Drosophila melanogaster: one gene and its partner. The protein of the gene in region 1 purifies or fractionates together with the protein of each later gene. This does not show direct contact. Each region holds a gene or a part of one and is shown on either strand. Other genes may lie near its edges. The genes, in order: pkm and CG11200.

Region 1 (6,839 bases):
TGGGCTCCACGCCACATATGCCCATGGTGGCGGCGCGTTGCCAGCGATGCACCTGCCTTCCTTTGCACAGCCAGGCGGATCTGCATCACATCTTGGAGCTAGGCACTCGCAATCGACGCGTTCGTCCCACCAATATGAATTCCAATAGTTCGCGATCCCATGCCATAGTCACCATTCACGTGAAGAGTAAAACCCATCACTCGCGGATGAATATTGTGGATCTGGCCGGTTCAGAAGGCGTGCGGCGAACTGGGCACGAGGGCGTGGCCAGGCAGGAGGGCGTCAACATCAATCTGGGCCTGTTGAGCATCAACAAGGTGGTGATGTCCATGGCGGCGGGCCACACAGTGATACCATACCGCGACAGCGTCCTTACCACAGTTCTGCAGGGTAAGTGCTACGTTTTGGATCGTCTCATGCTCAATTAGTTAGTGGACCATTTGGGTTCAAGCCTTTATTGATTAGCGACTTAGTGACTACTATAAATATTGACTGCAACTTCTTGCCGTTTTCATTCTTTGCAGCCTCGCTAACCGCGCAGTCGTATCTGACCTTTCTGGCCTGCATCAGTCCGCATCAATGCGATCTCAGCGAGACGTTGTCCACCCTGCGTTTTGGCACCAGTGCCAAGAAGCTTCGGCTGAATCCGATGCAAGTGGCGCGCCAGAAGGTGAGCCATCTATATGTAATTAAAGTCCACACAGTCGAGGATCACCTCGCGTATACGCTGTTTAAATGTAGCCTCGTTGCCCGCGCCCAGGAAACCAGCTCCATGGAGATCCGTAGTGGCCCCCGCCTCGATGCGCTCGCTAATTGCCTGAAGGTCGGGCACATCCTGACCCTGCATCGTTACAATGGGTAGAACCATCATGGCGAGAAGCAGGCCCACAGCCGCTTTGGTAGCCACCTGTTCATCGAATGCAGGACGGGGAAAAAGTTGCTCCACCCGCTCGCCTAGTCTGTTGCGAACACAACAATACAATAGTTGAAGCTCTAGGATTCTTATACTTTTACTTACCTAATCAGCTGCAGGCCCAACTCTTCATAGTAATCCTCGAGCATATTTTCGAGGTGTCGCTGCCGGAATCGCCGCGAAGTGCAAGTGAAGAGGAAGTAAGCTAGATCGGTGACCGGCGAGGCATATCGCATCAGTTGCCAGTCGATCAGGCGCACGTCCTCGAGCTCGCCCCGCTCTGTACTCTTGTAGAGAATGTTGTTATTCCAGCAATCGCCGTGGCAAATAACAGCGAAGGGTTCGCAATTGAATCCGCTGACCAAAGGCAGCAGCAGCTCAAAGTACGATCCTCTGGCGAAGTACGCCTCCAGACGAACTCTGTATGCATCATCCGCCGGTGCGAGCAGTGCGGATAGGGCGCTTTCCTTCAGATTCTCGAAGTAGACCCCCAAGGCATGATCATCGCGTCGCTGCTCAAAGATATCCACCAGCTGCTGCAGTTGTTGCATTTTCTCGGGCAACTGCCGTTTCCCGGCCAATGATATAGCATGTAATTTGGCATAGGTGAGCATTACGCGACGCACATGCTCGACGGATAGGTCGAGAAAGCGATTGTGCAGTGAGAAGCCGGCACAAGACAGATCCTCCAGCACGATGCACTCGTTGGGCTCATCCTGGCGAGTTCCGAAACAGAGCGCGTGCTGCCGGAAACGATCATCTCCGATTATCTTCCACTTATCCTGAATTAACGCAGTCAGCGGCAGAAAGACCTCATATGCTGCCGTCTCGCGCAGGAAACATGGTCGTGCAAAGAATTGCTTGCGGCGCACGCGATTCTGTGGCGGCAGTTTAACCACCAGGCTGCGTTTCGAATCGGATGCCGCCTGTAGGCGCCACACCACGCCCAAATAGTTGTCGCCCTTGGCACTCGCCCTTTCCAGACGCAGTTCCGGATTGGCGCCCAGCTCTGGCCACAGCTGGCTGACCAGTTGGCGAAGGAACTGTGTAACCTGCTCGTTGGGCAGATCTTCGTCTGGCTTGGCTGTGTCCTCTTGTTGCTCTACAGGACTCTCCATCCTGTCTGGGTGCTCTCTATTCACCTCCCCATTTCGTTCATCTTCGGTGTCTTCATGTGGATCTGGTTCGGCTTCCTTCTGATCAACTTGCTCTGCTGGAGCTGCTAGGTTGCCAGTGAGCTGAATCTCACTCGCAGAGATTTCTGCTAGTTTTTCCCTGTCCGCATTCTCTGCCAGCTCATCCTTTGATTTCGCCTCAGGCTCATCATCTCCTTCCAACAACTGATCTCCAAATGTTTGATTCAACTGGGGAATTTTTTTATCAAGCTCCTCTATGCCTTTGAGCTCTTGTTTGTCGATCACTTTCGAATCAATCTCTTTGGCTAGTTGTTTTTCAATGTGCTCCACCTCAGCACCTCTCGGTTCCTCCAACTCTGCCACCAATTCCTCCTTTTTCACACGATTATCTTCTAAATCCTGCACTGCTTCGCTGTTATTTGAGTTCTCCTCCTTTGGTTCCTCAACATCAATTCGTTTAGGTGACTTCTGATCGACATCTGGATAACTTTCTGTTGAGTCTGGTGAATTTCCTTGATCGGATGCCACTTCTATCACTTCCTGACTTTGGCGATCTTTCTGCTCCCCCTCCTGCGTCTTCTCACTGGGCTGTTCCATGGCACACTACGCCACCGCCGCGAGTGTGGATCGTTTATATAGAGAAACCAAGCCGTACCGAACCGAACTCATTCCAACCGCACTGACCGCAAATCGAACGATGCAGTTACTCGAGTTTCATCCACCCATCTTGCTCTGATTGCAGCAATCGCTGGCCGCACGGACAACACACGTCTTCCGCCAAGCGCTATGCACCTCGACGGCCATCAAGTCAAACGCAGCCAATCATAATAGCATAGTGGTTCCAAAATCCAAATATAGCACAACCAAGCCGCTGAGCGCCGTGCTCCATCGAACTCGCTCCGAACTTGGCATGACGCCCAAAGCTAAGAAAAGGTGAGTAACACGGAATGGACCAAAAGCGAAGATGATCTAATCCTCCCATATCTTCCTCCATAGGGCTCGCGAGCTATTGGAGCTGGAGGAGACCACGCTGGAGCTCTCGTCTATACACATTCAGGACAGCAGTCTGAGTCTGTTGGGTTTCCATAGCGATAGCGATAAGGATAGGCATTTAATGCCTCCCCCAACAGGGCAAGAGCCAAGGCAAGCCAGCAGCCAGAACTCTACGCTAATGGGCATTGTCGAAGAGACCGAGCCCAAGGAATCGTCAAAGGTGCAACAGTCAATGGTTGCCCCCACGGTGCCCACAACTGTACGCTGCCAGCTGTTCAACACCACCATCAGTCCCATCAGTCTACGGGCATCCAGCTCTCAGCGAGAACTTAGCGGCATCCAGCCAATGGAGGAGACAGTAGTGGCTTCGCCACAGCAGCCATGCCTTCGTCGTTCCGTGCGTCTAGCGAGTAGCATGCGTTCGCAGAACTATGGAGCCATTCCCAAGGTTATGAATTTGCGGCGCAGCACGCGGCTGGCGGGAATCCGGGAACATGCCACCTCCGTTGTTGTGAAAAACGAGACGGATGCGATACCGCACCTTCGAAGTACAGTGCAAAAAAAACGTACGCGAAACGTGAAACCTGCGCCCAAGGCCTGGATGGCCAATAATACAAAATGTTTTCTGGACCTGCTTAACAATGGAAACGTTAAGCAATTGCAGGAGATTCCAGGGATCGGTCCAAAGTCCGCCTTTAGTTTGGCCTTGCACAGGTAAGTTACTTACATAGTTGGCATACCTTTATTTGCGTTTTACCCAATAACCCTTAATCCGTAATCCACATTTTTCAGATCCCGCCTGGGTTGCTTCGAGAATCTTTTTCAAGTCAAATCCCTGCCCATTTGGTCGGGAAATAAATGGGAACGATTTTGTCAAATTAACTGTCTCGACACTTGATACAATTACTAATTAAATAGCATTTTAATTCGAATATAGTATAGTGATTGTTATTTATGTGGCATATACTTTGATTTTACAACTATAGTAGGAGTAAAAAAAGGAGCCGGATATCCTAAAACAAACAGTTATATATGTGTATGTGTAATATTTCTCAAGATGTTTACTTATTTTTTGTTTTCGACTATAATTTATTTGATGATAGCTTAGACTACCTATTAAATAAGCGCTATGTAATCTAATATTTAATTGCATTTTTTGATTTAAAGTAAAATAACTTTTAGGTCAATAACAATAATAATAGGACTTTTACACTTTGACACTTTTTATTCTTGGCATATAATTTTTAGACAATATACATATATATATACATTGATTATTGAAGTCGTCGATCTTCACTCTTCGCACTCACTCAACAGGGGGATTCTATCTACGAATCCATCAGTTTCGGCCGCTTCGATTCCAGTTTAGTTAGCACTCTCTCCTGGTTGATTTGGTATATACATACATACATATTTGATATATATATGTATATAGGTATGTATGATCATACGATTAGCATACGAGATAAGCTGCCAATCCAATCCAAACACATGGCGCTGGAAATCGGCATTCCATACACATTCCTACTCTCTTTTGGCTGGAAATCTTATCCGATTTCCCTTCGCTTCAAACATCAAAATACTCTGTTTGGGTTTCCCGAGCGTTGATTCATTAATCTAGCCATGATATAACAACCAAAATAATATCAAGCTATAGAATATATTTTTTAAAGAAAAAAAATCAGTCTGCGGGCATCCAGTTCTCAGCGAGAACTTAGCGGCATCCAGCTAATGGAGGAGACAGTAGTGGCTTCGCCACAGCAGCCATGCCTTCGTCGTTCCGTACGTCTAGCGGGTAGGATGCGTTCGCAGAACTATAGAGCCATTCCCAAGGTTATGAATTTGCGGCGCAGCACGCGGCTGGCGGGAATCCGGGAACATGCCACCTCCGTTGTTGTGGAAAACGGGACGCGCCTTCAAAGTGCAGTCCAAAAGAAACGCACGCGAAAAGTGAAACCTGCGCCCAAGGCCTGGATGGCCAATAATACTAAATGTTTACTGGGCCATCTTAACAATGGAAACGTTAAGCAATTGCAGGAGATTCCAGGGATCGGTTCAAAGACCGCCTCTATTTTGGCCGTGCACAGGTCAGTTGACATACGTTCATTTGCGTTTTACCCAATAACCCTTAATCCTTAATCCACATTTTTCAGATCCCGCCTGGGTTGCTTCAAGAATCTAATTGAAGTCAAATCCCTGCCCATTTGGTCGGGAAATAAATGGAAACGATTTTCTCAAATTAACTGTCTTGACACTTGATACAATTACTAATTAAATAGCATTTTAATTCGAATATAGTATAGTGATTGTTATTTATGTGGCATATACTTTGATTTTACAACTATAGTAGGAGTAAAAAAAAAGGAGCCGGATATCCTTAAAGAAACAGTTATATATGTGATTTATTTTTTAAATAGGCTTACCTAGGATATATTATATAATATATTAAATTAACAAAACAAGTTGGCATTTTAAATTAAAGCACAAATTGATTGTTATAAAAGTATTAAACAAAAAAAACTAGTCAAAAAAGAAAAACTTTCAAATAAATGACTTATTAAAAGTGACCAAATAAATAATATTCATTAACTTTTTTTTTCAAATTTAACTCCCTTTCAGCGTTGCCAGATTGGGTTGCATGCGGGATTTGATTATTTTTATTCACAAATTCTGGGTAGAGGGCCACTTGTGCTGCTCCGGCAGCTGGTCACACTGTACAGTCGCGCAGTTTGGTTTCTTTGGTGCGAGAAGACGGTTGGTGTTGTTATTTTTTTTTTAGTTCGCTCCGCTGTTTTTAGGTGCTACGCGCTTTATGGCCCGCTCTTAATCTTATCGCAAATCAAATCAAACCGCGGCCAATGAGCACCGTAATTTCACTTTTTGGCTAACGGTAACGGCACTTCCGCTCTCCGAATTCGATATTCAAACAGTCGCATTCCATCGAAAAGCGAAACAAGAAGTGGCCGTAAAAATGACCGTGAAAACAGTGAATCGCCAGCAGAGCCAAACGCCCACCCAGCAACGGCAATTGCATCAGCAGCGGGACGTCGAGAATGGGCTCTATCCCACGATTTCGGACGGAATATGCCACATTATTATCGGATAGAATACAGGAAATGTAGGATTTAGGTAAGGGAATAATAAATTTCTAGTAGTTTTCAAGTCATTTTGGAGAGCACATAGTGGTTAATTCATGTACCATATTAATGCATGGGAAATTGGCGAAAAACAAACACTCAGCCGGCACTTCGCGGCACTCACACCTACACAATCATACGTGCGTGTGAATGAAGTTGCTTGTGCTTGTGGTGGTCTGCCCTGTTGCCGTCTTCTTCTCACCCTCGGTGAAAGTTGAGTTCGATGAATCATCTGAGCATCGATCCGCTATGGCGGCGATCTTCACTCTTCGCACTCACTCAACAGGGGGATTCTATCTACGAATCCATCAGTTTCGGCCGCTTCGATTCTAGTTTAGTTAGCACTCTCTTCTGGTTGATTTGGGCAGATTCATATATATATATGTATATAGGTATGTATGATCATACGATTAGCATACGAGATAAGCTGCCAATCCAATCCAAACACAAGGCGCTGGAAATCGGCATTCCATACACATTCCTACTCTCTTTTGGCTGGAAATCTTATCCGATTTCCCTCGCTTCAAACATCAAAATACTCTGTTTGGGTTTCCCGAGCGTTGATTCATTAATCTAGCCATGATATAACAACCAAAATAATATCAAGCTATAGAATATATTTTTTAAAGAAAAAAAATCAGTCTGCGGGCATCCAGTTCT
Region 2 (6,839 bases), on another chromosome or scaffold:
CAGTGAAAAGGGATCACCAAGGGTGCAGGTCAAGGGTCCGTAATCTCAAGATTGAAAAGCAGATGAAGCAGAGGGAATTTATATAATTGATACTTAATGGAACCTACCTTATCTTGTTATAAAAAGAAGGAATGTTGAAAGGTTATATTCCGCTGAAAAACAAACACCTGTCGTCCTTTTTTCTTTGTAATCCACATCTGACTATATTCTTATTATTTGTTATTCCTTACCAATTCATCTTCTAATCAACTTTCTTGATCTTATTTCTTCCACAAATGAAATACAGATCAGTCTAAACCAACGACGAAATTTGGAGACGAGCCGGACCTCCTGTTCAAGCGAGCGCAGGGCCGGATTAGTCTGATCAGTGCTGGAGCTGGAGCCGCCCAGGCTGGCCAAGCTGCCCAACAACCATCACTGCATTCAAGCCAACAACAGTTCGCCAACATTCAACTAGACGCCACGCTCAATGACTGCGAAAGTGGCTATGTGCCCACCGTGGGCCGCTGGGGCTCCGAATGGCCGAGTTGACTCGCCGTTGCCACCAGTCACCGACGGGAGGATGGGGGAGTGGCCTCTCCGGATGAGGATGAAGAGGCCACTGCCGCCGCCGCTGCCCACGATCCGTTGCTCCCGGCGGATCAGCAGCTGGCGGATGCGATGGTGCGCGGAATGGGATTGGGATTGACTACGACGCGATCTGATTTATCCGCAACTGAGCACCCAACTGCACATGGCACTGGCGCCATTCGTCGCACACCCTCCACCTCCAGCGAGGAGGAGGAAGAGGAGGAGGACCTCGAGGACCACGAGCTGGTGCCTTCGCCCGATCTGACATCGGTGGATAGATCGGAGCGTTACTCCGACATCAGGCAGCTGTTGGCCAGACAGCAGCCCGTCGCAGCTGCTCTGGAGGGCATCTCCGGCGCTCAATGGATAGTGGGCGACGGCTATGACCTAGAGGCCTTCAATCAGGTAAACGGAGTGTGGCCCCTGGGTCATCCGCTGCCGCTGCCCGACTGGTCGAGCTCGGAGTCCGCTGGCAAGGGCACCCTGATCTTCGACAATGTCTGGCAGTATGAGGAGCTGAACGGAATAGTGGAGACCACGCTGCAGCGAATGCTGGAGGAGACGCACTACAATACGGTCAACCTCTTCGTTGACTTCTATCGCAGCTTTAAGCGCACGCGTCGCTCCGATCTGCGTAGCTTCTTTCAGTTCTACGATGTGCCCATCAACAGACGCCATCACATGTGCGTCTCGCTGGCGTTCGAAATCATGGCCAGGATGGTGCAGATGTTCCCGGTGCTGGCCAACTACTTGTACGTTGTGTCCTGCGAGGAGCAGGTGATGGACTGCAACGACTACGTTCAGTTGGACGAGGAGTGCGGCCTTAATTCGGTGGACGCGGGTGTGGAGAAGGAGCACGTCATGGTCGCCATGCGCATCGCCATCGGCGATCGACGGGGTGTGATGATCCTGGACCCAGGTTACCATGTCAGCCGAGCGGTGACTGTTATGCAGGATCAGAGCTATCCGCACACTGGTGAGTTGTAATCTCCGCTTAGCCTATTGTAATACATATATACTGATGGATGCAATATGTTTCTAGGCTGGTTCACCCAATCCAAGGAGCCGCATCTGCAGCGTGATTATTGCTATGCCTACAGTCAGCAGAATGGGAAATTCGTGGAGTGGAAGGAGCGCGAGATCCGTGGCGAGGATACCAGCTACAAGACATCGCTGATCTACGTGGCCCAAGAGTACATCACGGCCATCGACGTGACCGTGCGCCGCAATCTGGTGTACAACTTCCGATCGCTACTCTCCCGCGATGCCAAGGGTCAGGTCTATGCGGGCATCTACTTCCCGCTGGTGGCCAATGGGCAGGAGGCCTACCTCACCATCTTCTACGACGGACCCAATGAGCAGCGAGTGCGGACGAAGCTGATGTTCAGCGCGTTTAAAGTGGGCAAGGGAAAGGTAAGGATCACTGATAGCTATAGCCAATGGTTACCCATTACTAACCCAGTTATTATCACCCATCAGCTGCCGGACTATGTGGGTCAACATCTTAGCAGGCTGGCGCCGCAATTGAAGATACCGCTGCCGGAATTGACCGAACTGTGCAAATCCCTGGCCGAGGTGGTCACCGACCAGAGCTTCATCAGCCAGGTGCTGGCCATAAACGATGACATCGGCAACATGTCCGTGGAGAATTGACAGTTAAAGGAGCCTAAGGATGTCGCTGCTACGGAAACGGAAACGAAGATGGAGGAACAGGCGATAAAAGACATTGACAACGCAGCTGCAACTTAGAGTTCCGAACCTATTTGAATACTTTGAATACTTTGTCCTTTCCACAGTAATATTCTTTTTAGTAGCATATAGGCACCTCTTACACCAGCACACACGATTCAAGTATATATTCAATTTAGTCTAGTATATATTTCAAAATATTTATTCACCTATAAACACGACAACACGCTCTATATGGTAATCCCAACTGAATTATTTAATCGAAAGCGAAACGAAATTTTATTCAAAATATTTAAAAGAAATGCGCAAAGTTTAGACTTCAATGTTTCGCTTAGGTTCTTCTAATTTCAAACTATATATATACTTATGCGCAACTATATAATGGCAAAATTAGTTATAACTGGTATCAAGGCAAAACATAAATTGTAATTGTTGTACGAACATATTTCCGTTTAAACACTTAAATGCACTGTACTATTTCGGTTCAATAAATAAATCAGCTAGCAAAAGAAAGAAGGTATTTTGTTGGGAGACTTAAAACATAATTTTACTTGAACTTTAACTAACATGAAAAGATTAAAGGTGTATTATTGCCTTAAATTTGAATTTCGATATTTTTATGGCAGTGATATCGATTAGTTTGGTAACAGTAGCTTAACATAGAATAGACATGTTACTGTTAATAAGCTTAGCTCAACATTTAGGTATTTTTTGCACACGCAAACTCTGTTTCTCTGTAATAAAAACATTTGTTTAAAAACCTCAGGTTTCTTATGATTTACAAATGAATAAGGACAAAATAAAGAAAAATGCATACTGACGGCAGATATCGATGATTACATCAACAATCGATATTTTGAAACAGAGAAAGTGCAGCCCTGGTGCCATCGATGTATATCCACCTTGGATTTTCGCTTGTCTGCAGTTATTTCAATTAAGTTGTTTCAAATCAGCGTTTTTGTGAGTGCACACTAAGGTAACAACACGCCGACCGACCCGCTTAACCATTGCATAACCACGTAATTGTACAATATCAGCTGTTTTTCTGCGTGATCAGCCGGCAAGTGGGTAAAATTCACCTGTTGACCAGCGGCAATAAGCCAAAACAAAACAACAACAATCGTGGATCAAGTTCTTGGCGGAAAGGCGCGCAATTAAAACCTAACGTTCAGTTCGCTTTTGAATTTCTCGCCGAGCGGTTGTGGCGAAAATAAGGGCCCGCTGGAAAAACCGGTTTTCAAACACCAGCGATTGATCCTCTTCGAAAACGTGAAAGAAAACAAAAAGACGAGGAAGCGCCGCCGCAGCCTTTAATTGAAAAAAAGGGTGTCAATATTAGCATAGAAATCGAGGCACAGGTGCATTTTCGTCTGCGTCAGCCAAATTGAAGGTAAAATTGAAAAGCCCTCTGCAAGGGCAACAACAATAGAAAAAGAAAGTTAACCATATGCAGCCAAATTAAAAACGACCGCGGCAACAACAGTAAAACTGCTAAGCTTTTGCGTTTTGTTGACGGAAGTCGAAACTCTTGACAGCACGTTCGTGGTGTCATGCGTACACACAGAAAAAATGGAATTACTTTATGTGAAAAATGAAAAATTCATACAAAACCTATTTCTAATTTGTAGTGAAGTTCTTATCTTTTAAGTGCAATCTATTATAAAAGATAAAGCAATTAAGAGAATTTCAAACAACCTTCACTCAAGAAAAATAATTCTATTTCCTTAACTTTCTTAAAATGGAAAACCATTCTGCGCAGTACAATTTGTAAATATTTTTATATTTTACACCAATACTAAAGAGTTTTTCGCAGTGTACTATGCTAGGTCGTCCGTACAGATATTTCCCCGCTGCCCCCGCAAGAAGAGCCCAAAGAAACCGACCCTAGTTGTTGCTGTTTAGCGCCTCAGTCATTTTCAGCTCTGGCCCCAAATTCACTATTTTGGCCCCGTTTATTGGCTTTGGCTCGAAGCTCGGCTCTTCAACTTTCATTCCGCCGCTGTTTGGGTTTTTAATTAGCATTTTACGAGCACACCTAAGCCAGTTCTCTCGCTGTCTCCCAATAAACGCGCTCAACTATCTTCTGTCTAATTAATTTAATTGTTTCCCCGCCCGATTAAAAATTAAGATTCCAGTGCAGCGCTCAAAGTGCAGGTGGCAAATATGCACTGCAAATATCGGTGGCCAAACAATCGCGTTAGCTTTATAAGCCCGGCTAACCAACGCTGGAAATTGCTGGGCAAATAAGAAAAAACTGAGGGAAAGAGGCAACAACTCAAGCTATTCGACGGCCAATGGGGTCAAGTCGATTTCAGAACACGCTCTCTGATAAATATCATTAAAAAGTTTATTAATTATTAGACTTCTATCCCCAAAAATGGGGTTTCCTGGTGAAAATTCTGAGATTTCAAACATCATTCTTGTTACTCTGTCGAATTAGGATTAGTGCGTTAAAACAGCACTTTTGTAAAAGCCTTTTTAATTGATAGCAAAGATCATTCTACAAAAAGTTCGAGCTTTATAATTAAACCACATTTTTAAGTGATTAGTTACTCTCTACTGTTACGCCAACTTGATAGTATAAAGGCATGATAATTGTAGAAGCTCGACTATTCGCAGCTGAATCGTGACACGAATCAATCTCTGGCAAGTATATATGGCCAACACACCTAGAATTCCAAACGAATATGGCCAACAGATGTACCCGCTGGCACTCGGATCGCGAAATCTTGCTGACTCAGTTGAAGAGTTTCGCAAAGTGCACTCGAGGCGAATTTACCCGCCAATATTGATAATGTTGCCGGCTAATGGCTAATGTCTGTGACGAACCAGGATCGGTTTTCGTTATCAGCCGGCGCACTTTGCCCGATTTCTTATCAAAACCCGTATTCCCTTTGCAGAGTTCCGGAGAGACGGCGATCCGATCCGATAAGAGCGTATAATGTTGGGAACTTTGCTGTGGATTTTCTTCGTCGGCCTGCTGCTGTGTGCGTTCCTCTTTTCGAAGACCACCAAGGAGTTCCCGAAGTCCTGGTTCGAGTGGAAGACTGAGTTTCGGTATCAGTACCTGGGAATCGTTGGGCTCGTCCACGATGCCCAGTATAAGGCACGGGATCGAGTGGGTAAGTCAATTTGCTAGCCGATGCTTATTCCACGATCACTAATTGTTGCCATTATCCATTAAGCACTTTATAAACAACCGGACCGCATTGCTGTCATCACCGGAGGCAATCGCGGCATCGGACTGCGGATCGTGGAGAAGCTGCTGGCCTGCGACATGACTGTCGTCATGGGTGAGTTGACCAATCTCCGCCCAACAACTTGTTTCAGGCCTATTCCTATCCATAAGTCGGCGATCTGCTTATGAATTCCACAAACATTTAACCGTGCTGCAAGTGCACGTGCTCGGCAAGCTAAAATCGAACATCGAATAAACGATCGTCGAAATGCAGATCCATTCCCACCCTTGTCAATGCGATACAGAAATCATGACCCATTCTCCTGATTTCATTATCTAACCAAGTCGCGTAAAAGTCTCGATTTTCGGGAAAGACAAGCGATAAGAGTTCATTGACTGGTCGGAGAAAAGAATTCTAAATTTCAATGAAAAGGGTCACAGTTATCAATAATTATTTTGTATTTTCTCGTTAACATTTTTGAAAATGGCATTTTTTGTTGCTTTTCCAATTTCTTGCTTTAATACGTTTACTTACAATTTCACTGCATATTTTAGTCTCTAAGAAAATTCATTTATTAAGAAATCATTTTTTTTTTTAAATATATTTAATTTTATTGTTAGTGCTAGTTAAAATAATAAACATTTTAATCATTTAACAGTCAACTGTTATTTTCTACATTGAACTTATGTAAAATGTATAGATGTAAAAACCAGAGCTTGAAGTGCGCTATACAGGCGCTAGGTGTCGCTTATATTGCTTATATTTTGTGTAAAATAGGGTAGATTAGAAAACACTCATAAAAAAGTGTTTTAAAGGATATTTATTAATTAAGTTCTGTCCTCTCAGCAATTTTTGTCAGTGGCTCACTTTAATTTATGCATTTATTGCAGGCGTTCGTGATCCCAAAATTGCCGAAACCGCAGTTGCATCGATAGTCGACTTGAATGCTACCAAGGGCAAGCTCATCTGCGAGCAACTGGATGTTGGGGATCTGAAATCCGTAAAGGCATTTGCTCAGCTCATCAAGGAGCGGTATTCAAAAGTGGATTTGTTGCTGAACAATGCTGGCATCATGTTTGCGCCCTTCAAACTAACCGCCGATGGCTACGAGTCGCACTTTGCCATCAACTTCCTGGGACACTTTCTGCTCACCCACCTGCTTCTGCCTCAATTGAGGGCGGCAGGCAAGGAGGGAAGGAACTCCAGGATCGTGAACGTCAGCTCCTGCGTGAATCTCATTGGACGCATCAACTATAAGGACATTAACGGAACGTACGTTTGAGTAATTGTCGCCTAAGTTCCTTATTTACTAGGTTTTACTGCTTGCAGAAAACACTATTACCCGGGAACCGCCTACAGTCAGTCAAAGCTTGCTCAGATCTTGTTCACCCGCCATCTGCA

Evidence for each region.
Region 2: the proteins of pkm (region 1) and CG11200 purify together in Drosophila melanogaster (affinity purification with mass spectrometry, with the first as the bait; one large-scale study listed by BioGRID). This does not show direct contact.

What each region holds. Positions count from the first base shown.
Region 1 is NC_004354.4:11,581,515-11,588,353, forward strand, and holds pkm (pinkman), read right to left. Parts: upstream 2,662-6,839; 5' UTR 2,647-2,661; coding exon 1,019-2,646; intron 960-1,018; coding exon 680-959; 3' UTR 671-679; coding exon of another isoform or gene 525-670; 3' UTR 443-524; downstream 1-442. Other genes in the region: nod (no distributive disjunction), read left to right, coding at 1-390, 525-670, 2,792-2,982, 3,046-3,756, 3,835-3,940.
Region 2 is NT_033778.4:20,304,957-20,311,795, reverse strand, and holds the start of CG11200 (uncharacterized protein), read left to right. Parts: upstream 1-3,124; 5' UTR 3,125-3,235; intron 3,236-3,296; 5' UTR 3,297-3,649; intron 3,650-5,159; 5' UTR 5,160-5,200; coding exon 5,201-5,381; intron 5,382-5,444; coding exon 5,445-5,552; intron 5,553-6,328; coding exon 6,329-6,710; intron 6,711-6,767; coding exon 6,768-6,839. Other genes in the region: CG13868 (uncharacterized protein), read left to right, coding at 287-526, 572-1,546, 1,613-1,983, 2,050-2,223.